7 linked regions of the Rattus norvegicus genome follow. The protein of the gene in region 4 purifies or fractionates together with the protein of the main gene of each other region. This does not show direct contact. Links are inferred from orthologs where the notes say so. Each region holds a gene or a part of one and is shown on either strand. Other genes may lie near its edges.

The links.
Region 1: the proteins of Bag2 (region 4) and Dnajb4 purify together in Homo sapiens (affinity purification with mass spectrometry; 4 studies listed by BioGRID and IntAct, with this or other methods). This does not show direct contact. The link is inferred for Rattus norvegicus from reciprocal best matches to the Homo sapiens genes BAG2 and DNAJB4.
Region 2: the proteins of Bag2 (region 4) and Ambra1 purify together in Homo sapiens (affinity purification with mass spectrometry; 3 studies listed by BioGRID, with this or other methods). This does not show direct contact. The link is inferred for Rattus norvegicus from reciprocal best matches to the Homo sapiens genes BAG2 and AMBRA1.
Region 3: the proteins of Bag2 (region 4) and Edrf1 purify together in Homo sapiens (affinity purification with mass spectrometry; 3 studies listed by BioGRID and IntAct, with this or other methods). This does not show direct contact. The link is inferred for Rattus norvegicus from reciprocal best matches to the Homo sapiens genes BAG2 and EDRF1.
Region 5: the proteins of Bag2 (region 4) and Cep170 purify together in Homo sapiens (affinity purification with mass spectrometry; 3 studies listed by BioGRID and IntAct, with this or other methods). This does not show direct contact. The link is inferred for Rattus norvegicus from reciprocal best matches to the Homo sapiens genes BAG2 and CEP170.
Region 6: the proteins of Bag2 (region 4) and Dnajb1 purify together in Homo sapiens (affinity purification with mass spectrometry; 4 studies listed by BioGRID and IntAct, with this or other methods). This does not show direct contact. The link is inferred for Rattus norvegicus from reciprocal best matches to the Homo sapiens genes BAG2 and DNAJB1.
Region 7: the proteins of Bag2 (region 4) and Hsf2 purify together in Homo sapiens (affinity purification with mass spectrometry; 4 studies listed by BioGRID and IntAct, with this or other methods). This does not show direct contact. The link is inferred for Rattus norvegicus from reciprocal best matches to the Homo sapiens genes BAG2 and HSF2.

The regions. Positions count from the first base shown.
Region 1 is NC_086020.1:243,789,796-243,792,419, reverse strand, and holds the end of Dnajb4 (dnaJ homolog subfamily B member 4), read left to right. Parts: intron 1-33; coding exon 34-602; intron 603-1,823; coding exon 1,824-2,057; 3' UTR 2,058-2,124; downstream 2,125-2,624. UniProt on the Homo sapiens protein: Probable chaperone. Stimulates ATP hydrolysis and the folding of unfolded proteins mediated by HSPA1A/B (in vitro).
Region 2 is NC_086021.1:98,155,372-98,159,425, forward strand, and holds the start of Ambra1 (activating molecule in BECN1-regulated autophagy protein 1), read left to right. Parts: upstream 1-1,254; 5' UTR 1,255-1,500; intron 1,501-1,811; exon of another isoform or gene 1,812-1,969; intron 1,970-4,054. UniProt on the Homo sapiens protein: Substrate-recognition component of a DCX (DDB1-CUL4-X-box) E3 ubiquitin-protein ligase complex involved in cell cycle control and autophagy.
Region 3 is NC_086019.1:197,905,911-197,909,193, forward strand, and holds the end of Edrf1 (erythroid differentiation-related factor 1), read left to right. Parts: intron 1-1,153; coding exon 1,154-1,328; 3' UTR 1,329-2,783; downstream 2,784-3,283. UniProt on the Homo sapiens protein: Transcription factor involved in erythroid differentiation. Involved in transcriptional activation of the globin gene.
Region 4 is NC_086027.1:43,473,838-43,477,937, reverse strand, and holds the start of Bag2 (BAG family molecular chaperone regulator 2), read left to right. Parts: upstream 1-1,300; 5' UTR 1,301-1,320; coding exon 1,321-1,433; intron 1,434-4,100. UniProt on the Homo sapiens protein: Co-chaperone for HSP70 and HSC70 chaperone proteins. Acts as a nucleotide-exchange factor (NEF) promoting the release of ADP from the HSP70 and HSC70 proteins thereby triggering client/substrate protein release.
Region 5 is NC_086031.1:91,203,650-91,205,990, reverse strand, and holds part of Cep170 (centrosomal protein of 170 kDa), read left to right. Parts: intron 1-237; coding exon 238-331; intron 332-964; coding exon 965-1,016; intron 1,017-1,884; coding exon 1,885-2,186; 3' UTR 2,187-2,341.
Region 6 is NC_086037.1:41,428,342-41,432,515, forward strand, and holds the start of Dnajb1 (dnaJ homolog subfamily B member 1), read right to left. Parts: upstream 2,801-4,174; 5' UTR 2,701-2,800; coding exon 2,490-2,700; coding exon of another isoform or gene 2,318-2,489; intron 1,215-2,317; coding exon 634-1,214; intron 411-633; coding exon 180-410; 3' UTR 1-179. UniProt on the Homo sapiens protein: Interacts with HSP70 and can stimulate its ATPase activity. Stimulates the association between HSC70 and HIP. Negatively regulates heat shock-induced HSF1 transcriptional activity during the attenuation and recovery phase period of the heat shock response.
Region 7 is NC_086038.1:37,364,894-37,369,100, forward strand, and holds the start of Hsf2 (heat shock factor protein 2), read left to right. Parts: upstream 1-1,407; 5' UTR 1,408-1,584; coding exon 1,585-1,677; intron 1,678-2,013; exon of another isoform or gene 2,014-2,156; intron 2,157-4,207. UniProt on the Homo sapiens protein: DNA-binding protein that specifically binds heat shock promoter elements (HSE) and activates transcription. In higher eukaryotes, HSF is unable to bind to the HSE unless the cells are heat shocked.

The sequences.
Region 1 (2,624 bases), on a different chromosome or scaffold from region 4:
CTGTTTTCCTAATCACGCGTGTCTCTTCACCAGGCCTGAAGGGTGGAGCTGGCGGCACTGACGGACAAGGAGGCACCTTCAGGTACACGTTCCACGGAGATCCGCATGCGACCTTTGCAGCCTTCTTTGGAGGTGCCAACCCCTTTGAAATTTTCTTCGGGAGACGGATGGGTGGAGGCCGAGACTCTGAAGAGATGGAGATAGATGGCGACCCCTTCAGTGCCTTTGGCTTTAGCATGAATGGATATCCAAGAGACAGGAATTCCGTGGGGCCCTCCCGTCTCAAGCAAGACCCTCCCATTATTCATGAACTCAAAGTCTCGCTTGAAGAAATATACAGTGGCTGCACCAAACGGATGAAGATTTCTCGAAAGAGATTAAACCCTGATGGAAGGAGTTACAGATCTGAGGATAAAATTCTCACCATTGAAATAAAGAAAGGGTGGAAAGAAGGCACCAAAATTACTTTCCCAAGGGAAGGTGATGAAACACCAAATAGCATCCCAGCAGACATTGTTTTTATTATTAAAGACAAAGAACATCCCAAATTTAAGAGAGATGGATCGAATATAGTTTATACTGCTAAAATTAGTTTACGGGAGGTAAGTCGGTAAGATCTGTGACTCTAAGGCCAGAGATGAGCACTGCTGAGTACCTTAGGGGGCTGTGGGCAGGAGCTGCCTTCTGTCCTGCTCTGCATCTTCTTCCTCATAATGACTCCCTAGGAAGAGCTGCTATTACTCTCAAGGATGCCATCAGAGGCTCGAGGTTTAGTTACTGATCTTAACCATTTAAATGCCAGTTTTTCAGTGTAAGCTTGAGTAGATACTTCATGGCCAGTGTTGGGTTAACTCTAGTTTTAGGTTGTGGTCTGAGATCTGCATTGCCAATCCCCCACTGAAGTCCACTAGTACATTGGTTCTGAAGTGAGTGGTTTGGAGTCCAATTTATATAACAGGCATTAAACCATAGCAAGCATGGACTTAGACATGGTGCACACTACCACCCCTTGGTAAAGTCCCTGAGCTCTCTGCACCACTTCTCAAAGGGGTCATGCCCCTGTGTGCATTCTTAACCGTCTCAGTATACTCCTCCCACAGAGTCCAAACTGTGTGAAGGTAGAGTCTGGCTCTTACCCCAGACACATTTGCCATTCCTGAGTTTGCTGTCATTGCTTTGTTTATTTCCTCTTGTGTCAGCCACACTGTGTGATGGCTCCTGGCTTTCCCTTTGTCCCAGTGCTGCTACAGAGCGGTCCTTGTTTAGTGTAGGCACTTTGTAGTCCCAGGCGAAGCAGATGATCTGTGCCATTTCTGTGACAGCGACCTCTGTCCACCTTCGTGCTCTGCTTTGCCCTGCTCTTCCTGCTGATCTCTGTATTTCTGAGTTCCTTGTGCATTTCTGAGCGTGAAGTCTTGGCTCATGGTTCCTGTGTGGTTCAGCTGGGACTGTATGGCAGCCAGTAGATAGCCCAAGGTCTTCTGGAATAGGTTTTGCTCCTGCTTTGTTCAGTTCAGTTCTAAAGTCCTCCCGCTCCTCCTGTTCAGTTTTCTGCACCCTGACTATTCCCATCCTAGGCCAGTGTGGAAGATGCCCTTCACTTCTCCTTTTTCCCTCTGTCCTCTCTTGGCTGTCTCTGGTAACATCTCGGATTATGCTCCTCTTGAACAGATTTTTTAGAATAGAAAAGGTTTAATAACTATCGTAATCCTTTTGAAGTTAAAATTTTACCTTCGTGTTATTACCCTTTATTACCTAGCACAATCTTATATTTTTTAGTTTGAAAGTTTATTAATAACTTCATTTTATTTGGTCCACTTTAGGCATTGTGTGGCTGCTCAATTAATGTGCCAACAATGGATGGAAGAAACATACCTATGTCAGTCACTGACATCGTGAAGCCTGGGATGAGGAGGAGAATTATTGGCTATGGGCTGCCATTTCCAAAAAACCCAGACCAACGTGGCGACCTACTGATAGAATTTGATGTGTCCTTCCCAGACGTCATTTCTGCAGCATCCAAAGAGATCCTTAGGAAACATCTCCCTGCCTCATAGAATGAGAAGAACCTTGCTATCCATATTTTGATAAGACACTGAAAATATAAAAGTACTGGCAGTTTGACTGATGTGAATTCTGTATAAAGATGTGTAGACTCTTCTGAGGGCTCATTAAATTGCATGAATAGAGACGGTTCAAATAGGCAAAAGTGGATTTTTACAGTAGAGATGAAGGTCATTCACTGTATTATATTTCATTTCTCCCAAATCAGAAATTTTCAGTATTTCATTTATAAGTAAAAGTTGGTTTTGTGGTCTATAGATACACTTCTAGTAAAGTACTAGATCATCCAAGTACACACTCTCTCTCTCTCTCTCTCTCTCTCTCTCTCTCTCTCTCTCTTTCTCTGTGTGTGTGTGTGTGTGTGTGTATCTTTAAATGATCAGTGTGATAGGCTGTCTTAATAGAAATTAAAATCCTTAACTGTATGTGACATATGTGGAGGAGAATAAAAGCCAAAGTCATCAGAAATGCAGTCTGGGTCACATCCAGAACCGCTGTGTTGGGCTGGCACCAGAATGCATTGATGCTTTACTATTGTGACCTCTCAAGGATGCTGTAGC
Region 2 (4,054 bases), on a different chromosome or scaffold from region 4:
GTCGGTAAATGCCTGTAATTCCAACAAGTGGGAGGCAGAGGGAGGAAGATAGGGTTTGAAGTAATATGGATTACCTAGTGAGATTCTGTTAAAAACAAACAAACAAACAAACAAACAAAAACCCCTCAGGCATGGTTACTTATAATTCCAGGACTCGGAGGCAAAAGGATGGCTGTGAGCTTGAGCTCAGTTTGGGCTACATAGTGAGTTCCAAGCAAGCCAGGCTACAGAGTGTGAGCCCCCACCTCAACCTCTCACAATCCCTCAGGCACACTCCAAATTTGGAACATGAAGACAAGCACATCAGAGTTTCAAAGTCATTCTTGGCTACATAGAGTTCAAGACCAGTGTGTGGGTTACATGAAATCCTGTCTCTAAAAACTAATTAGTTAACTAACTAGCTACTTAGCTAATTAAAAGCACATTTGTGGACTGTGGCTTTAGATCTTTGGAAGAAAAAAAAAAGAGAGAGAGAGAAGTGAGAAAAAGAAAAGAACAGGCTGGGAGGTTGTGGTGCTCACCTTTAATCCCAGCACTCCAGAGGCAGAGGCAGGCAGATCTGGGTGAGCTGGAGGCCAGCCTGGTCTACAGAACCAGTTCCAGGATAGCCAAGGGTACACAGAGAAACCTTGTCTGGCAAAACAAACTAAGTCAAATCATAAAAATTTAAAAACAAGGTACAGGAACTTTCCCCTCCCACCTTAAGCTGTTCTATGTTCTCCTGGATTGAACTGGGGCATTCATAGAGATTATTCCGTTTTCTTCAGCTCTGAGAGGAAATCAAGAATCAAAAGAAGCGAAGTCATTTGTTCAACTGGGACAAGTAGTGTAAGAAGTCTGTAAGTGTAGGGCAATCGTTGAACTATTAAGGAGAGCTTTATTCTAGTATGATTTATCTTCAATCAACGTGTTCACAAAAGACTAATTCCTTTTTCACTTAAGACAAGGTCTCATATAGTCCAGGTTGGCCTTGCTCTTAACTGAGTATGACTTTGAACTCCATATCCTCCAAATGCCTCCTCTTCCTAAATTCCTGGGATTACAACCGTGCTTGCTGTCTCCGAAATTTAGTTCTCTAAATTACTTCAACACTCGGTCACCAAGAGAAAATGGCAGAAACCCAGCCTACTCTATGCTTTAGCTTATGATCTGAATTTGTTTATTTATGCCTAGGAAGGCAGCGGGACTTGCAGCAGGAGCTGAGCAATGTTTCGGCACTCGGCTGCAGTTCCTTGAACGATTGCTTGGGCGCTCTTCCTTTGATGTCTGGGCGTTCGTGTGTTCGATGATCTTTTGCAGCGTCTTCTAGGTTGATGTCTCCAGAGCGGCGGCGGCGGTGCCAGGTCCTGGACTGAGTTATCCGGGAGACCCCGGGCTCTGGCCGCTTTCTTCCGCTGGTCGGTCGAGCGGGCCCCTCGCTTCCTTCAGCCTCTCCCCGCCTTCCGTCCGTGGCTCCGTGCGCTCGTTGGCCTTCCGGCCAAGCTCTCACTCGCCTCGCAGGTAGGCCCGGGAGGAGCCTGGGAGGCCCGGTCCGGCATCCTTCCGCCGAAGGCAGGAGGAGACCTTGGCGCCGGCCGGTGGGCGAGCGCGCGGCCCGTCGGGGCGCGCGTCGTGAAGGGGGTTGCGCCTGGGGGCGCGGCCGGAGGGCTGCCCGGAACTGAGGGAGAAGCCGGAAGGAGGGAGAGATGCTGAAGCTATTGGCCGGGTTCTGTAGAGAGGGGATGTCTGGTCCTGGACTCGTGTCGTCACCCCTAGATTGTGGGAGCTTGGCTCTCTTAGACCCAATTCTCTCTCTCCTTTCCTGCAACTCATGTTCCGGACGTCATTCCTCAGTTGCACTGGTGACCCACGCTGAGGCTAGCCTCGGAGTGCCCTTTGAGTTGGTGGAGGCTCTTGAAACTAGGCCCTCCAGCTCCTTGGAACGAAATGTCAGGTTCTATTCTTTTGGAGTAGGGAAACTGAGGCTGAGGTATGGGACCTGACTTTTCCCTATGACCCCGACAGAGCATTAAATATGCTGTTTGTTTTTGTCTTTAACAGTTGACCCTTCTCTTTCTCCCATTTTACTGGTCACTTTTAACTTAACAGTGATTTCTCATTTGACTACTTGGAACTCTTCTTTCTTAAGAAACATTTATTGTGTTACTGGAGGCTTCAGACATTAAGGGAGCAAGGAATATTTTTTGACTGGATTTGTCTTTTCGAAATTTGTATTTTAGCAAAAGTAGTAAGGATAGTTTGTTTTTGTTTTCTCATAAATAATTTTGTTTACTTCCACTTTACTTCTGATTAATACTGATTCCACTCTTCAGCTTACTCTAACTCTTTTCTGCTATGGGATTAAGTACTTAGTGCAAGATGGAAGATGGTTAAGACTTTGAACTTAGGTTCTTGGGAAGGTCTTTTCTAGGAGGTATCTAGAGGGAGTCTAAGGAGACTCTTTTGAAACTTTTTTTTTTTGTATTTGGTTAGTAGTTTAGTCATTTTATTAAGAGTTCAAAAGTCTGTGTAGAAACTATTCAAACTTAGTTAAATTGAAAATGAATCTTTTTGTGAATTTCACTGTTTCTCTTTTCTTTCTCAAGGTCTTAAGGTCAAGTGTTTTTGTTAATTCTGTTTGATCAAGTGTCATGATCCTAGTCATTCTAGGTTGGATAAGTTTCCACAGTATGTAAAATTCATAGGAGAATGACTTTAAGGTCGTAAGAAATTCTGTTTCTACACAGTTTTAAGATGCTTTATGAACTTTGGAAAGATGATAGAATTTTACATTGTTTCTCTAATTTTTTCTTTAATGTATGTGTAAGGTTAGTGAGGCTTATTATTCTTTCTCTTCTTTAGTAGTGCTGGGAATTTTGAACCCATGGCCACATACACATGCTCTGTCACAGAGATCTACCCCTGAGATTGGCAAGATTTAAATGAAGGTGATAGATTGAATGATTGGTTGATTGCCTGTTTGTGTGTGTGTCTGCACATGGGCATGCCATACATGCATGTGTTTGTCAGAGGACAATTTTCAGGAGTCTGTTCTCTCCTCCTAGTCTATAGTGAACTCAGGTTATCTGGCTTGACAGTAATCCCATTTTATTTTCTGAGCCATTTTGATGGTCCATGAAAATCAAATCTTTTGATCATAAGCAATTTCTTAGTTATAAGGACCTTGGTACTTTTTATAAGTGTGTAGATTCTTGATTGGGTAATTAGGCCAAAATTATATCTTCTTTGAAGAGAACTTTTATTATGGAAAAAATATACCAAAGCAAAGAAAGTAGAGGTAGAAGTAACATTGCCTGCTGTGACTTTATAGTTGTAAGTGTGTCTTAGTGACTCCCAATGAGTGACAGATAAGAAATGGTGATTGCTGTATATGTCATGAAGAAAAAGGTTAGAAACATTTTGAATGTTTCTGTAAGAAAGAACCAGCAGAAGTTTAAGTTGAATTGAGACAGATAAACTTGGTGGTGGGTGAGGTTATAGGAATGAGACTCTTAAGCTTCTCTACTTTTCTTTATAATTCATACAAGTTTTGCTTGATTAATTTTCGTATATTTTTTTGGTTTGTGTATGGTTGTTTTGGAGTTTTTGAGGCAGAGTGGACCTCTTGTGTTCCAGGCCAGCTTTAAATCGACTGTGCAGCTGAGGATGACCTTGAGCTCTTTGATCTTCCTGCCCCTACCTCAAGTACTGGATTACCAGTGTGAACCACTACTTGATGCTATATCTTGGGAATTACCAAAGTCAATTTGGGCCGTCTCCTGGCATTTCAGAAATGTTCACATTATGACTGAATCATTCTGTATTTTGCTAAGATGGTTCCTGTGGATAAGTAAGAGATATAAGCTTCAAATAGCTGTGGCTGTACATACTTTAAATTCCAACACCCCAGAGACCGATGTAGGAAGATTGTGAGTTCTAGGTCAGCCAGAGTTAACATCCTGAGACTGCCTCAAGAAACAAAAACAACAACAAAAATGAACACAAGACAAAAAAAAGACGAAAGCCTCTGAATGTTTTCTGGATTGTGGCTGGACCAGAGTTACTGAAATAAACT
Region 3 (3,283 bases), on a different chromosome or scaffold from region 4:
AAAGATGTGAGCCACCACACCTGGCTTGTTGAAGAAATTTTTAATCTAAAGTTTTCATGCAGGCCAAATGTCCTATGAGCCTATCTGTGCTTTCAGATTTATTATACAAAAGAAACGTGACACTGCAGGTTTGAAGCAGATCACTATGGTTACCGAGGTTTATTGTGTTTCATTCGTGTTTAGGTGAGAACAGCTGACAGGTTTATTGTTGAAAAAAGCTGACCTAGTTGAGTTGTTTAAGAGAAAAGGAAATCAGAGCATCACCTTAACAGAAAGGAACATTAGTAGTTTATTTTGATTGCTATTTTTTCCCCTTAGCCTGAGGCAAAATAAGAAAGTGGGCTTAATAACTGAAAAGCTTAACTTACTTAGGTTCCCAGAAATTAAAGTGAGCTGTAAGAAAAATTAGAATTCATTTTCTTGTTGAAAATTTTTATTTTCAGGCTGTTGAGTGTGCTTCATGGTATGACAACTGTGTAGGTGCTACAGGACACAATACACTTTGTTTTTATTAAGTTGCCGGGGACTTACTCCACTTTGGATTAAGTATTGAGCTGTTCTTATCATGCCCTTGAGCATTCACTGCTCTAGCTGAGTGGGGCCTCTTGACATTTCTCTAGAATTTGAGATGAAAAGCTATAAAACATCTGAGGATCATGGAGCCCTGTCCTGTAGTACAGAGAAGAAATTAGTTAACATCATGGATGGTCCTTAGTCAGATAACAGTAAGTATTTAGTTGAGTAAAATGGTAGATAAGGTAAACCAGTTAATTGTCTTAAGAGGAAAACCTTCTGTTTGACATGTGGAGACTGTAATAGTAACCAGCTCAGGGGTGACAGTAGGTTAAAGGCATGAGCTACACAAGGTGTAAGAAGTCGAGTCAGGAGTCTGTGAGCAGAGCTCAGCTGTCAGTTGTGATTGGCACTGCTGAGTAGAAGAATGGCCACACAGCCTCTCCATGCCTGATCAGCCCCACCTCCCACTCTGTGACGTATTCTTTGACCATGTTTCGTGGCTGCTCACTGCTTCTAAGGCAGGGGCCGTTCTTTGCTTTACTCAGCAGCCATAGGTAAGTCAGCTGCTCTAGGAAGTGCCTGCTGTGTGCAGCCCCACCTGCCCTCTCTTCCCTTCACCTGTCTGTTTTAACCTCAGCAGTAACACGGAAGATGATGCAGCCCTCCAGACCAACAAGCAGATTTACTCCCAGCTTTTGAGAGCAACTGCCAACAGAAACTCCACTCTGTTGGAGAGAATTGAAGTTGTCATCTGTCTGCTGGAGCAGCTTGCATCTGGTAGCAGTGGATCGAGTGGCAGTGCTGTCCCCTGACCTGAAGTTGTCTCGGAGGACTGTCTTGTCAGTGCCTTCCCATCCTGGAGCTGTTCTGTCCACTCGGTGCTGAGACTTATTAAATATAAGGAGATGCCATTTAATCAGGTCCACAGTGGGTACTCGCTTCCCGTGGCAGGCAGAGGATGTGGGGTGGTTTGGTTTCTTCCTGTAAAGGTGAGAAACCATAATGGAATCAAAAGCTTTCTGAATGTATTTCCTCGAGAAGTACTTGGTTCCTTAGTGATAACAGACCTCCTGTGATGTGCTTAGACTTGGAGATATTCTTGAAGGATATTAAAACACTTGGACATAAGATGAGATTATTTTAGATAAAATGTTACTCTGGCCAAGAGAACTCTTATTCAAGTGATTTCACGTTCAAATGGCGTGTAGAAACAGTACACATCTGTGTTTCCTTGTGAGTGACAGAAGTGTACCCTTTCCAAACTGTTGCACAGGAGGTTTCGAAGACTGAAAGTTGTGCAGGTCTCCTTTCAGTGCATGTTCTGAAAGGCCTCACTTTTCTTTGACTGTATGTGACATTGATAAAGACTAGGTACTATCACTTTCTCATTTTAAACTTGAAACTGTGAATAAGGTAAGAGAACTATTTTGAATAAATAAGCTATTTATTTAAAATACCTTGGTAGTTCCCACTTGCATTCTTCACACTGCTGTGATTTGATCTGCTTGCTTATGATTTCAAAACTTTACAAAGTACATAGATCCTAATGTTCAGGGCAAAGGTCTCTCACACATTCATGCTCCTTGAACATTCTGCTGTGCCTTGCTGCTCTGGAGATCTTGTCCAAAGCCTACTGCATGTGGGGCTGTAAGGCTGTAACTAATAGTTTGAAGGAGGTGCAGCATTTGCATCAGGCAGACTCTTCTGCTTGGGTGATACTCTGGTGTCTGGCCACTATTGCATCCCCTCCCGCACCAGCCCCATTTGCAGGCGTTTCTGTCACTGGAGCAAGCAGGTCTCCATTGTAGCAAGGCAGATTCTCTCACTATTTGTCTAGTTCCTTGTTTGGTTTACACTGTCATTGGAGCAAATTTGCATCTGTTTACAAGAATTAATCATTGCAGCCCTTAAAGCTTTGGTTAAACTGCAAAGCTTTGAGCCTGCTCATCAGTCCCATTTCAGGACTGCTGTGTCCTTTGCCTTGCATCGAGTGTACACAGTAACAGCCCTTTCTCCACGGGAGAACCCTCTGGCTGCTTCCACTGAAACATAGTACCTCTGGAGCAGATGAGCTCAACAGGATTTCCCCTGCTTCCCTAGAAACAAGCTGGGGTGTTAAGACTACTTGTCTTCAAGCCCCTCCCCTTAGCTGAATGGTGGAAAATGGATTTTAAGCAAGGAAGTAGAAATCCTAGCTCTTTCCCTTGTCATAGCAATAACATGAAAATTTCTGCAGGAGAAATAAAAGATACTTTTCAAATGTGTTGTAATAACTTGTGTTGGTTTTAATTAAAGTTTCCTGAAGTAAATGTGTTTTAGCTGTTCCTTTAGAAGACTCTGGCCTGATTACTCGGGTTTCTGAACCTTTTTCAGTTAGTTTCATTATTCATATATCATCATCATATATGACATTGACTCTTGTATGTTAAGAATTTAAGCCAGCGGGTGGTGGGAGGCAAAGGCAGGCAGATCTCTTGAGTTCAAGGCCAGCCTGGTCTAGAAAGAGAGTTCCAGGACAGCCAGGGTTACACAGAAAAGCACTGTCTTGAAAAAACAAAAATTCTTAAGCCATATTGTGTGGAAGTTAAAGGGTTAGCACCTGAGGTTGGGGATTTAGCTCAGTGGTAGAAGGCTTGCCTAGCAAGCGCAAGGCCCTGGGTTTGGTCCCCAGCTCAAAAAAAAAAAAAAAAAAGGTTAGTGCCTGTCCTAGAGTAGGGACATTGCAGTTAGACAGCAGTTAGACAGCTAGCTTCCAGAGCTCTGTTGT
Region 4 (4,100 bases):
TGCTTGTTACTTTAGTTACTTTCCTCCTGCTGTGATAAAACATCATGACCAAGGCAACCTGTAAAATAAAGCATTTAATTGAACTTAGATACAGAGGGTCTGAGTCTATAATGGCCACAGAGATGCCCTGAGCACTCACATCTCAAACCCAAGTCGAGGCAGAGAGACACTAGGAATAGCTTGAATCTTTTCAAACCTGCCCATAGGGATACACTTCCTCCAGCGAGGCCTCACCTAAGTCCTCCCTGGTGATGAGGACAGAGAGTACAGGGAGGGGGAATTCAAACAACCACATCTGCCTGGCTTAGTTGCCAACCTAGCACAGAGGCAGACACTCTACCGCAGAGCTGTGTCTGCAGCCCCTTTTATTTTTCTTTTGACACAGGCGCTTGCTGAAGCTTCCCAGCCTAGCCTTGAATTCACTCTGGCCTAATTCACACAACTCTGTCTCAGCCTCCAGCGGAGCATTAGACCTGAGACTTGCCCAAGCTCAGACTTCCAAGACGTCCACAAAATGTTCAGATTTCTCGGTCGTGTCGTGAGATGACCGTGTTTAATGAAGCCAAGATAATCCACCGCTCATTAGTATTAAGATGAGTTCAGGATAAGGATGGGGTGGGGGGTGGAGGGGTGGGACTAGAAGCCAGTCGTACTTAAGGGGCTTGTCTCTGTTCAGTGATCTAATGGCTTTGAGTTCTGAGTGAAGGAAGTAAATGAACTTTGTTTCCCTGTGCATTTCTGTATCCTGTGCATTGAGAGAGCAAAACACGACTTTAAGTGGACGCGGCTTTGTACTTCAGCCCTGCTGACCTCTACAGCTTCTGACACATGAGCCTACCGAATATCATTCGCAGAGGATTTAAACAAGTTATGTGTGAAAGTAATAATCCTTTCATTGGAAAGGCAAGACAACACAGATGCACTTGGCTTCTCCTTATTTGGAGCCTGTGGTCCAGGCTTTCCCTGGACTCTCCGGAGCCCGCCTGGTCACCCGACAGGTCGGGCAAGTAGAGACTGCCCTTTAGGGCGTCCTGAATTGTCTCCGGCTCTCCCCACGTCACGGGCAGCACCCACTACGTCCTTGCTGTGAATCGTGGGTGCTGGGAGGAACGGCGTGGGCCCTCGGCGCCCCGGGGCAGGGTCCCCCACCCAGGCGTGCGGGCGGCTGCGCCCGCGCCTGCCCTTGTTTGGCCGCGCGGCCTCGGGGGTGGGGAGCCTGGGAGGTGGGGGCGGTGCCGTCCGCGTCAGCGGCGCCTGCGGTGACGGCGACGTGCGGCCCGCGCCACTGCTACCCGCGGACGCCGAGGACCCCCGGAGCTCATGGCCCAGGCGAAGATCAGCGCCAAGGCCCACGAGGGCCGCTTCTGCCGCTCGTCCTCCATGGCCGACCGCTCCAGCCGCCTGCTGGAGAGCCTGGACCAGCTGGAGCTCAGGTGAGGGCGGCGGGGGCGCGCGCGGGCGGGGGCGCGCTCCGGGTGGGCTCCCCTCCCCCGGCCGGCAGCGCGGCGAGCCAGTGCGGCTTGCAGAACTTCCAGATCCTTCGGCGCGGTCCCCCTCTGCCTTTAACTTTCCCGCTTCCAGGGGGCAGGCAGCAGGTTGGTGTGGTCCTTCCCCCCTCCCCTGTAATAAGTTTCTTTGCCCCAGATCACTTCATAGTAACACAAGAGTAAGTTTTAAAAAAGAAAAAACCCAGGACTGCCCCTCCGGGGGACCAGCGAGAATCAGACTCAAAAGGGGCCGCGCGAGATACCGAAGTTGGATACCATCCTTCCTTCTCTTAACCACGTGCAGTGCCCTCTGCAGTCTGTCCGTGTATGTTGTGCGTTTAGAAGACACAGCTGACACTTGGGAAGTGCCAGTCGCAGGTCTGAAAACACCAAAGGCAGGCGTCACACTCTCCCTGAGATTCTATCACGGGGACGGCCTTGTAGTAAAATTTCTAAATCGTGAATACTACTAGCAGATGCTGTGAATACTTGGCTTTAGCAACATGAGCCCCGGTGTATCTGGTGGGAACGTTAAGGTCTCCAAAGTTGTGCAAGTTTTGATTGTGTGCAGGCGCTGTTCCATGAAAATCGTATGGAGACACCCTGACACATGTTGTTCCCTAGTTTTCTCCAGGTTCTGCATAAGCAGAAATATGAGCCAAAATCTTAAGAGTCTTGTGCGTCTTCATCTCTCTCCGTGCATCCACCAAACACAGTATGTTTGCACAGAAAAATACAAGCAGTGTTTGTTACAATTGAGGTGTTCGCTATTTTTACTATTAGGAGAAAAGAACCAGAAGGTGAGAAACTTTTAGTCTCTGGAGTAGCAACCACAAGAGAAGCCTGAACCCTATGTCCCCCAAACCGGAGGGAGACAAAGGGACCTATGCTGAGAAGGGAGGGGGTCAGCATTAAAGCCCCTCTGAAAAGAGAGGAGTGTTTCCCTCTGTGAGGTAGGCTCCGAACTTTGACAGTACATTCTCAACTGCTCCGATTTTTTTTTTCCTTGAAGGGTTCAGGAAGTTGTCACTCTTCCTCAAGCTGAGTCATTGTTCAGAAACTTGAGTTAATCCCTGCCGGCCATGTGCTGAGTCCCTCCTCTCCTCCTGGGGGCCTCTTGAAAGTCTGGGGGTTGCTTAGTGTTACATTCTAATGTCTGACTACGTCAAAGGAATCTCAATTCCCGGCCCATAGGAGATTAAATTATGTTACTTATTAACAGTTGCGCTGAAGGGGGTTTCTTACTGTGTGTTTAGTGGTTCAAGGCCTTTACCAGTAAGCGCAGATTTCTGTAAGTCTTGTTTCTCTTTAAAAATGTGATGCGCACTTAGAAGTAAGTTTGTCAGAAGGTGAAAGAAATGGGGGGAGGGATGATGCTGCCTTTTAAGGTTTGGGGGCCCTTTTTAGAAGCCACCTGGACAGTGTCACAGAGCAGGACACTTTAAAATTAGGCTTTTCAAACATGGGTAGAGAAAGATGACGCTCCTGTGACGTCCCTCCAACTTTCTTAGTGCCCATGTGTGGGAAAAGCAGTGGATGGGGTAGTGTAAGTCATTGGTTGGTAGCCAGTGTGCATCTTCCATTCAGTTGAACTGGTTCTGTGGACTGAAACCACATCAAAGGCTTTATGTCCTGCAGGATGAACTGACCTCGGGGGGTGTCCGAAATGCTTTAAAATGTTTTATAAATCGGTAACAGATGCCGTTTGTTTCTAATGGCTTATGATATTAACGACACCATCTTACATTAAAACAATATTTTATTACTACGCCTCCTCTCCTGCAGTGCTTTCTCTAAAAAGATAATCCCGTCCTTTCCTGATTTACATGACCAGCTCTATGGGGATTCTGCGCTTGTCGAGGCCGAACGCCTTACTCTTTAGTGGTTATCCTAGTTTATAAATCATCCATGTTAGCATCAGTCTGTAGGCTAGGCCTCGTGTCTCTGGGGGAGTTACCGTTATCTGTATTGCGCAGATGAGAAGTTGAAGCTCAGATATACACAACATGCTTCAGTCCAGAGCAGAGCACTTCACATGTGAACACGGGAAGACCGGCTGCTCAGGTCAACACCATGTGTCCTGGTCTTGAATATCACTTTTCAAACTGTCCGTCTGACCTATGAATGAATATGATTTTACTAAAAGAGAAGAAAATCAATTTAGCGTTTGAGTCAGTAAACATTGAAGACCTGGAGCATGTCTGTTATTGAGTAGCTTCTAGGAGCTGTGGGTCAGGGGCTGGGCTTTGGACATTGGCCAAGGAGGTATAATGGTTGGTAGGACTGGGAGATCGGCTGCTTACACATCTCCCAAAACCGATCATGTGGTGAGCAGCTCCTTCCCAGTTCACTCAGCCAGCAGGGGCCAGGGAAACGGGCCACCCCCTGCTTTGGTTTCTGACTGTTTAAGGTTCCTGTTAGCATGTGCCAGTGTTCCAGGACCCACAAAGCAAGTTGACACCATATTTAATTTGTCGTTAACAGTCTGTAATTTAGAAGGAACGCTTTTCGTGCACACTGTCATTTGAATCTTATAAAACCCCCGAGGGAGGAGGGCGTTATTATCTTTTAGCAGTGAGAACGATGGGCTGTGATGGGACTTGGTGGGAAGGA
Region 5 (2,341 bases), on a different chromosome or scaffold from region 4:
TTTTTAGTTAAAATAAGATAAACAGTAAAGAGCTTTAGGCATGTATGGGTATCTAGTGAGTTATGGTTTTAACAGATTTTCACATGCTTGACCCAAAAGTGTTCACCAGTTAAGTCTGAGTTCATTGAATAGTTATTTTTCTTTATATAGTTTTGAAATTATACATTAACTATGTGTAATTTTTTTGTATCATCAACAAAACCATGAATTTAAAATGCTTGTGTTTTTTGACTGTAGAATATTGTTTAAAGACAAAGACCGGAACTGGGATGACATAGAAAACAAGCTAAGAGCTGAAAGCGAAGTCCCGATTGTGAAAACCTCCAGCATGGTATGGTGGTTTTCAAGATTCAAACATTTCATCAGCGTGGCTTCATTTGTTGGGGAAAGCATAGTTTTGAATATTTGTTAGTTTACATTCTAAAAGACTGTATAAATGCATAGATTCGGTAGTGTTTCATCCAGTGGTGTTTAAAGTATCTCTTGGTTCAAGGCCATAGAGAGCATTAAGGAGGATCGTGTGTTGATTAACTACTGTGATGTATCTTGTTCATATCATAGCTCTACATTATAAAGAAGCACCTTTAACTTTAGAACTTAATGTTAATTGACATATCATTTCTATTTTAAAAGCACAGTTTTATCAGATTTTTCTCCTTATGTTGATGGTTTCACTTTATATACTTTTCAAAAAACAAAAAAACTCAAAGGCACAGTTTTAAACTATTGCAGAGTTGATCAGAACAGATGTTTCAAAAACTGTTCTTTCCTTATTAGTATATTGTCTTGAAATGTTATTGTTGTTGTTGAAAGGCGTCATTATTAAAGATTATAAGTTGGGTCTTGCTTCCTGGGTGTCTTCTGTGTAGCTACTAATGCAGTGCCATAGAGACAGTGAGCTGCATTACTTGTAGTCTGAGAATGTTGTAACGTAGTAAGCTAATCTGGGTGTCTTTTCCTGCAGGAGATTTCTTCTATTTTACAGGAGCTGAAAAGAGTGGAAAAACAGTTGCAAGGTAAATTTACTTCTAAATTAGGTAATGATGCTTGCAGATAGGGTGTTCTGGTAGACGCCTATAATTCCAGCATTCAGGAGTCAGAGACAGAAGGATTGAGGTTGAGACCAGCTCAGTGTATTCCATTTCTGAAAATATATTTCTTATATTCTTAGTTATTGAAGCAGTATTTAACTAAATATATCAACCAGTACTTATAACAGTATAGAGTTGAATATATCTCAGTTATTCATAAAAGGAAAGTTTTATAGCTCTATATAAAGGACTGGAGATGTGTCTCAGTCCTCGAGTATCTGCCTAGCGTGTGTGAGGCCCTGGCTTCTTTCCTAGTACCATCAAAGTGACTAGATAGACAGTTCCCGGATAAAGTCTGTGTTGTTTCACATTTGATGCGGAGTGTTATATGCAGAATGGTCTCCACCTCACCGTGGAGCTGGACCTCTTGGTCCTCCTCCCTCCACCTCTGAGACCATCACCCCTGGCATAAAGAGAACATATTGTGAACATTTGTTGGTATTTGTATTTTATAAAATCTGGCTGTTTAACACATAACCAGTGTTTTCAGTACCCCTCTGTGATAGTAAAAGCAAGTTCAGAACTCTCTTGGCCTGCTTTCCCTTCCAGTCACTGTTCACTGTCACCTAAAGTGCCGATAGGGACTGTGGGGACCTAGGAGAACCTCAGGTCTGTACAGTCTACAGTGTAGACTTAACCACTGGTTATTGAATCAGGTTAAGTAAGATCTAGCTTAGTTAACTAGAGGTTACTAGCTTACTTTAGCTAAAGTCCCTTCTAATGATAAGCAGTATTCATATCCACTTCTTACTGAAAACAGAACTACATCTTTTTATCTTTTTATCTCCTTCAGTGATAAATGCCATGATTGACCCAGATGGAACTTTGGAGGCTCTTAACAACATGGGATTTCCCAATGCTATCCTGCCATCTCCACCAAAACAGAAGTCCAGTCCTGTTAACAACCACAGCAGCCCTAGTCAGACGCCAGCACTTTGCCCAGCAGAAGCTAGGGCCCTGCACCCTGCTGCAGCAGCAGCAGCAGCCGCCGCCTCCACTGAGTTTGAGAATGCTGAATCTGAGGCTGATTTCAGCATCCATTTCAATAGGTTTAATCCTGATGGGGAAGAAGAAGATGTTACAGTACACGAATGACGTTCCCTGGTTTGTTAGAGACATTACCCATGGAGTGACTAGGGGTATTGGAAGCAGCATGATGTTCACATACAAAACAAGAGAGCTTGGTCAGCAACAATCTTGTTATCTTTGTCTTCTTGATTTATTTATTTATTTTTACCTCTAATGTATCA
Region 6 (4,174 bases), on a different chromosome or scaffold from region 4:
CTCGAAAAACCACTGTAGTCTAGTGCGCGACTTTGAAAGATTGTAATATATTCTGTGGAAAACATTCGGCAGAGCAAAAGCCCTCCCTGGGCCCTCCCGCAGTATGCAACCAGTGGAACGGTCTGGAAATCTGCAGCTCTGGAAAGGTCCCTGGCTCAGTCCTTGAGGAATGCAGGCAGCTATATGGGAAGAACCTGCTCCAGGATGGTTCTGGATGAGATGGGGATCCTATCAGGGAAGATGACTTCAAATTCGATAACAAGGTCTCCACGTTTCTCAGGTGTTTTGGGGAGGGGGAGGCCTTCTCCAGGAACTTTCCTCCGCATGCCAGGCCTGATGACATCTTTGAATACAACAGGAATGGTCCTGCCGTCCAGAGTAGGAACATTCACAGTGCAACCACAGAGAGCCTAGGGAAGCAAAAAGACAGTGTCAGGTAGCAGCTGGCTTAGGAAGCTTGACCCCTCCAGACCAGAACCATCCAGAGAAGGGTCAGGTCCACCAGACCAGGCCTTCCGAGACCCCACTACAAAGCTCCCCATGCTGTCAGAAACAGAGTGCCACCCCCACAGCCTGTTATCCTCAGTACCCATCTCTCTTCATGATTCCTCCTCCCCACACCCAGCACCTTACCTCCCGAAGGCTAATCCTGGCTGGATAAATGACATCAGAACCATCTCTCTTGAAGATATTGTGTGGCTTGTCCTTTAAAACAAAGACGATGTCAGCTGGAATGTTGTTCGAGGTCTGGTCCCCTTCCTTGGGAAAGGTGATTTTGGTCCCTTCTTTCCAGCCCCTCTTCACTTCGATGGTCAGGATCTTATCTTCATTTCGAATGCTCTTTCCATCAGGGTTCAGCCGCTTGTGGGAGATTTTCATCTTCTTGGTACAGCCGCTGTAGATCTCTTCAAGGGAGACCCGAAGGTCGTGGGTGACTGGGGGATCTTGCTTCTTCCGGGTGGGCTCTTGAGTAGGGCGGGAACGTCCAAAGTTCATATTGGTGAAGCCGCCCATACCCATCGGAAAGCTAGAGAACGGGTCATCGATGTCCATGCCTTCTTCCCCGTTGCGCTGCCCAAAAAAGGTATCAAAGGGATTCCTGCCACCGAAGAACTCAGCAAACATAGCATGAGGGTCTCCATGGAATGTGTAGCTGAAAGAGGTACCATTAGCACCACCACTGCTCCCGCCACTGGGGCCACCACCCTTCAGGCCTGGAAAACAAAACGGCAACTCAGGGTTACTGCAGGAGAGTCAGGACCCTTCATCCCAACACTTCTACACACAGATAAAACACAAAGCCCTTGAAACAAAGATCTTGGAACCCTAGCTCTCAAGACAGGAGCAGACTGATCTCTGCAAGTTCCAGAAAGCCAGAGCTCTAACATGAGATGCTGGAGAAATGGCTCAGAGCACTTGCAAAGGAACTATGTTCAATTTCCAACACCCACAAAGCAGCAGACCATGGTCTAACTCTAGTTCCGGGAACTTCAATGCCTTCTCTAGAAGCGTGTGATGATGCACGGAGGTACACACTCAAATAAATTAAAAAATAAAAGTTCCAGCAACAGTGAGGTCCTGTCTCAAGTAAATGGTAACATCTTGTTCCCTTGCATGTATTACTGTCAATTCTAAGTAGCACAAGAACTTGCTGTGTAGTCTAGATTAGCCTCAAGGCAATCTTTCTGACTCAGACACCCCCGGGGTGGGGGGGATTGTCACAACGTCTGCTTCCTTTGGAAACAGCTTACCCTGTAGCTCAGATTTGCAGCAAATTCACAACGTTCCTAATTCAGCCTCCCAAGTGGAGGTGTGAGCCCCAGTACACTGCTCTCAACAAGTTTTGGTCTTAGTAAAAAAGCAGCAGAAACTATAGTGTGTGTGTGGGAGGGGGTGAGGGGAAGGAGTTACGTGTATATTTTTAAAAGCTTTTCCACTTAAGTCAAGGACGAATCTCAAGTCTTTAACTCCCAATGGCAACAGGAACAGGAAACAAACCACCCCGTTTAACTTCGTGACAACAATTCAGTAGAAAGGTCTCTAGATGTTGGTGCCACCAGGTTGACGTGACTGCTCCATCCTCCCAGCTATGCTGTAACACCTTACAAAGAAGTTCCTACGCACTAGTACCAGAAAGGTTCAACTTTGGGTAAGCACCGAGCTTGCGGCTGGGAAAGGGAATCGACACTTGGGCAATTTTCATTCCCATCGCGACCGCCGCCCCCCGCCCCCGTCTGCAGCATTCCGGCGCTGTGCAGGCGGCCGGCCGGGAGGGGCTGCGGCAGACGTGCTAGAAGCTTCTGTGCTAGCGGCGCACCCAGAGCTCCTCCTCCCGTCTGAGGCCGCCGATTAGAGAGAAGGTGGAGGAGGCAGCGCCGCCGCGGGATCCCCGGACCATCTGTCCCCCGCCGAAGCCTCAGAGAGGCCCCGAGTGCCTCGGTTTCCTCGCCTGTCAAACGGCGGGTCACCCGGGCCGCGCGCACGCGTACCTTCCTCTCCATAGCGGTCGAAAATCTCGCGCTTGCGCGGGTCGCTGAGCACGTCGTAGGCCTCGGCGATCTCCTTGAACTTCTCCTCGGCGCCGGGCTCCTTGTTCTTGTCCGGGTGGTAGCGCAGCGCCTGGCGGCGGTAGGCCCGCTTGATCTCGTCGTCGGACGCGCCGCGGGCCAGGCCCAGCGTCTGGTAGTAGTCCTTGCCCATGGCCACCGCCGCCCAGCTGTCGCCGCCTCCGGCTCCGCTGCTGCCCCGTCCCGGACTCTATATACCCGTCCGGCGGAAGCTTCCAGATCCCGCCAGCCCTCCAGAACCTTCCGCCCCTCCCGATGCGTCGCCCCACACCGGCCAATCGCTGCAGCCCGCTGCGTGACGCAGCTCATCTGGGGTGGGACCCGGCGGCCAACGGCTTTCCGCGCGGGGCCACGCCCCTTCTCTCTCTCCCCTGGTCAACGCCTTCCTCGGACGCGCGCGCCGGCTGCCGAGGTCCCGCCTTCGCGGCGGATCCAGCCAATCGCGACCCGCTCTCCCTGATGACGCGAGGGGGCGGGCTACAGAGGCGGCCCTCCCGGATGGCCGCACCCTTTCCCCAGGTGATCGCCGCTGGGCGGTTCTGATGCGTGACTTATGGTAGCTACCTGATGTGTAACTCCAAGTCTTCCTGCTTCAACCCAGGGATAAAAATACGCACCCCGCCCTCTTCTGCCCGTAACCCTTTGTCTTCCCGTACAGGCCGTTACTGTAAAGCGAGGTGAGGCTGGTCTGCCTTGGGATTGCCCCAGTCGGGCTGGGTTATTTTACTTCCTACTAATTCCTATTGGAATTAGCTGGTTTCTTGGCGTTCTTGGTGTCACTTCCTTTGCAGAGAGTGAAATCTTTTTAAGATCCACTAGGTGCTTCGTAAATATTTCCAAATACTTTGACATAGATGTTTTTTGCTTTGGCTTCGTAAGCCTGGGATGATACGGTCAAGGACACTGCTGAGTGAGGAAGAGGACAGAGCTTCTGATATTGGAAGCTGGAGGAGTCAGTGGTGGTTCTTGCAGGGAATTGCCTGGAAGACAGTGCATGAAAGGCTGACAGTAATCCTAGCACTTTCTGGCTGTGTGACTTTGTGCTGGTAAAGTAGCCATTCTGGTCTCAGTGTGCTCATCTGTATAATGGGAATGGTCGCTGTATTATGGTTAAGTTGACATTATCCAGCATTTGTGAAAGTGCCGTAGACAGACAAGGTACAAAGGAGGTGTTCTTGAAAGGGATGATTAATCATCTTGTTTAGTGGACAACTGTTGACACTCACTTTCTGGCAGCCCTGCAGCATGAGAGTCTGATAACCCTTGCCTTAGGCACCCCTGAGAAAAACAACCTTAGCCATCCCATGATGGTATAGCTGTGTGTGTTTTGATTTCCCTGACCGTACTGACCCTGTGAAAGCTGAACCAGTTGAGTCCTCCTTCCCCCAAGATGGATTTGGGGCTAGGAAACCCATTAGCTTATCAGAGAGGGTGTCCCGAACCAGTCACTTGGAGAGAACGTGTCTTTAAAGATACCGAGATATGAAGAGCCTATCCTGGCACAGTGACTTGTTCCTGTAATCCCCGTGCCAGGATGCTGCTATAGGAGGAACTCCCATGTGAGGCCAGCCTGACTTCAAAATGGGTGAATAGAAATCAAAAGTATA
Region 7 (4,207 bases), on a different chromosome or scaffold from region 4:
AAAAGATCTTCTATGCCATTTTAACAGGGCAGGACTTATTCTGGAGGGCACGAAGGCCACTGGGTGTCTTCCAGTCTGGAAGTGGCTGTTCAGATTTGTGGTTCAAAAACATATTTGTAAGCATACAGTAATGGACCAGAAGAAGAACCACTTTCAAAGGGCTTTACTTTGTCAGGTAACTATAGCAGGACTTTCACTGACATTTTATCTCTGAGGCTCTGGGACAGAAAAGAGTCCCAAACTGAGGTAAATCAACACATCATCACATTGGGATGTAGCTGGAAACTTCTAGCCAACCCACTTTGGGAATCTGGTTACAGAGTTGGTTCCGATTAGCTTTGGGTAATTTGTTGAATAGAATTTGTACCAACCTGAATCAGACCCTTTGAAGCTTCCTCTTTAGGTTGCTGTATATGTAGCAAATGCTGTTTATGTACCAAACAGTGCTGTATATGACTAAGTTCAGTATATGCTTACATATACATGTACAATATATGTATGGGGTGGGGTGGGGTGTCTTGCCATTAGCCCAGGATTACCTGGAGCTCACTATTTAACCCAGGTTGGCCTCCACGGCTCCACACTTCTACCTCAGCCTCCAGAGTGCTCAACTTACAGGTTCAGGACACTAAGATCAAAAAATCTTTTTCTCAGAGATCCACATTATTACAGCTACTCTTTATAGGTAGAAAGTCAATGAAGAAATGGGGCATTGCGCTAAAGAAGCTGTTCCAAATCACACTTTGCCAAAGAAAACCTGCATAAGGTACATGCAGAACAACTATTTTGACTCAGATACTCTAAAATTATACTAGTGGCTTTTGAACTGGGTTTCTGGCAGGTACCTGATGCCTGCTGAATTCTAATAGTATATATAATAGCAAGTACTTTGCAAACAGCGAGTTTTATTATTCATGCTTTAGGTTTTGATAAAAGTGTCTTAAGAGTCATCTTCTGCCAGTGGAAAAAATGTATAAAAAGGCTCGTTTATCTTTAAGATAGTTTCAACCAGGGGCCTAGCATATCTTGCTCCCTGCCCCATGTGCTGTATTCCTTCCTTTAGACTGGAGCAAATTACTCTTCACCAGTCAAACTTATGAGTCAACTGCCCTTGGGCGTTTCTGCACTCTGCCAGACATGGCCGGTGTACCCAAACCCTTTCCACATGAGTCCACAAAACAAGGTTTTTCTCTGGACCCAATATCATTCCCAAAACAGTATCCTGCCTAAAAGGTAGCAGAGAAGGCTGAACCACTCCTGGACCCACCCCTCCTCTCGGCAGCTGCCAATCGTTTTGCTCTGTGGTGCACTCGAAGCCTCGGATTGGACTCGCAGAGACCGGGCGCGGGAGCAGAGCGCAGGGGTGGAGCGCGAAGTCTTGTCCATCACGTGTGGCCGCGGGGTCTCCCCGCCTTCACCGCGCGCCCCGCGGCGCCGAGGGGGCGGAGCCCGGGACCCGCCGCGCCTGCGTGGTGTGCGTTCCCGGGAGCAGCTGCTGCTGTCGCCGCCGCTGCTGCTAACGCCTTCGCCGCCGCTACCTCCGCGTTCGGGAGTAGAATTCGGAATCCCTGCGCCCGGCTAACAATGAAGCAGAGTTCCAACGTGCCGGCTTTCCTCAGCAAGCTGTGGACGCTTGTAGAGGAAACCCACACTAACGAGTTCATCACCTGGAGTCAGGTACGTTCGGGGACGCGGTGGCCTCGGGTCTCCCTTGTCGAACCGGCTCGGCTCGGCTCGACTCGGCTCGACTCGACTGGACTGGGTTGGGCTGGGCTGGGCTCAGCCGCTCCCGCGGCCTGCGGCGGCGCGCGGCCTCCCCACCACGCGTGGACCCCCGGCTTTGTGTGCGCGGCGAGCCGGGCCCGGCAGGCTCCGTTCGCCTCGGGCCGCGCGCCGTGGGGGAGGGGCGCCCTGGTAACGGTCCCGCCGGCCCCGGGAGCTCGGAACCGGCCCCAGCCGCGCGTTCTGCACACTCATCCTCGGCCGTCTGCTCGCCGCGGGGCACGGAGGTTGCGGAACCCTAGACTGGCGAGCTGGCTAGGGGGCGAGCACCGGGCTTATCTAAAGAAATCACCTCCGCGGTGATTACTTGTCCCCTGGTCTGGGATCTTTTATGATGGTAAAGGGAAAATGTGCGGACTCAGACTGCTCTTCCCGTGAGCTTTCTAGTTTTATTCATGTAGTTCATTTATGTAGTTCATTTATGTAGTTTTAACATAGAAATTTCCCAGTTATTGTTTGGAGGCTGGGTCATTTGCTTAATCTTTTTTAAAAAAATTTAGTAGTAAAAGTGCCTGTAGATTATGCTTAGTAACTTAGCGGCAGGGAGTTAAAAACGAGTCGTTAAATTTCAAAGAATAGTTGCTGGCAGAGTGGTAGGTGGTTGCCTTGATCAGTTAGATCCAGATTCTCTTTATAAATAAAGATGATCTTAATCAAGTCCGGTATCTTGCGTGGTCTAAGTTGTGGGTTAGATGGATGTGTTGCCTAGGTGACCCAAGGACCCTCCCCTCCCCCGCCCAGTTCCACACAAAGATTCTTTGCAGAGTGATTATTTACATCACTTGTGCCTTTGCTTTACTAGACGCGCAATTCTTGGATTGTTCCAATCACTTCATGAAGGGGATCGGCTCCTCTTACTGGAGTTGATCACTTATTCGGGGTATTTTCATGTTCACGGTTTTTGAGATGAGTAAGTGGGAAATACCTGGCTATGTGTCAAATAAATGTTATCTTCCCGCGTTTCTTTTGTGTTCTTTCTGTTGTTAAAACTAGTTTTCAGCCTTGCGTGCTTTTCATAGGTAACAGCAATAGAATATACCTGACATTTGGACAATTATCTCGCTGAATTTTGCTGAGTATTCGTGCCAATTTTTAAAAATTTCTTTCTAGGGTTTAATTTCCCTGAGTATTGTCACACGGGTGCCCCACCCCCTGCTGGTTGTGTAGACTAAGCAGTTGACTGACTAATTTGATACATTGGTACAAAGAAGTGAAAATAAGAAAGGCAGCTACCAGCATGAACTTAAAATAAACAGACTGCTCATGCTTTTCGTCAGTCAGAAGGATTAAAGGTTGACAAGGCACGATCAGTCCGGACTGCTTCTCAGCTCTCTTTTAACATTAGAAACCGGACTGAAGTATATTCTGTCCCAACCAAGCTGAGTTTATTGAACTTATTGAGCTTGCAAAAGGCTGTTTATTTGTACTGTCTAAAAGTTCCACACGAATGTACTGGTAATTGTTTCTAATTAAACAGATTTGTATAAGCGGCCTGATAACTTCAAATTAGCCAAAACATTTTAATAACTTTGTTTTTGATCAGTACAGACTCTGGAGAATTTAAACTAGTGCATAAGTGTGAAATCTTATTAATTGCAGACGAAAAATCTACTTAATTACTTTTACTTATCGTATTAAGTCTCAGTTTATATTTTCATCTGCCCATATCCAGTACACCAATAAGAGAGTCAAAGAGTAAACTCAATGGGGTATTGATTCTAGAGACATAATTGGTGTCTTAATGTTTGAGTCACTAAAACTGTTAGAAAATGTAAATGGGTTTGATTGGAATGGAGTAACAGGTGTCCTAAGATAGCTATGAATGTGGTCGAAACCATTTGTAGATGACAAAGTCATATTGTAATGAGATACCAGATGGAATAGTATTTGGAATGCCAGTACTGAAAGGTACAATTTTAAGTTGATGTTGATAGAAAACCAAAATGTGTCCCCCTCCCCCATTTTTTGGCTCTTTTTTAAAAGATTTTATTTTTAATCGTGTCCTTGTCTATTGTGTGCATATGCATATTTGAATGAGGGCAGAAGAGGGATCCAGACTTCCAATTCTTGGACTTTGAGCTGTTATGAGTGGTAGGAACCAATCTGGGGTTCTCTCTGAGCAGTGACTCTCTCTAAACTCCTGAACTTTCTCTCCAGCCCTACTGTGATCTTCTAAAAGTTTCTGTTTGTGTGCCTAGCTTCCTTTAAATTTGTGTTGAATTATAGAGGTGAATTTTAGCATTTACACTGACTCAGTGGCTATCACTTTAAGGCCTTTTAAAAGCAGAAGCTCTAGGGACTAATCAAACTTTTACGAAACCCCTATCCTCTACGGTGGTAAAAAATCATACACTCCTTTAGCTTGAGTCTAAACCAAGGAGAGAAACCTCACCTGTATTCTGAAAAGCTTGACTTAATAGTCCTA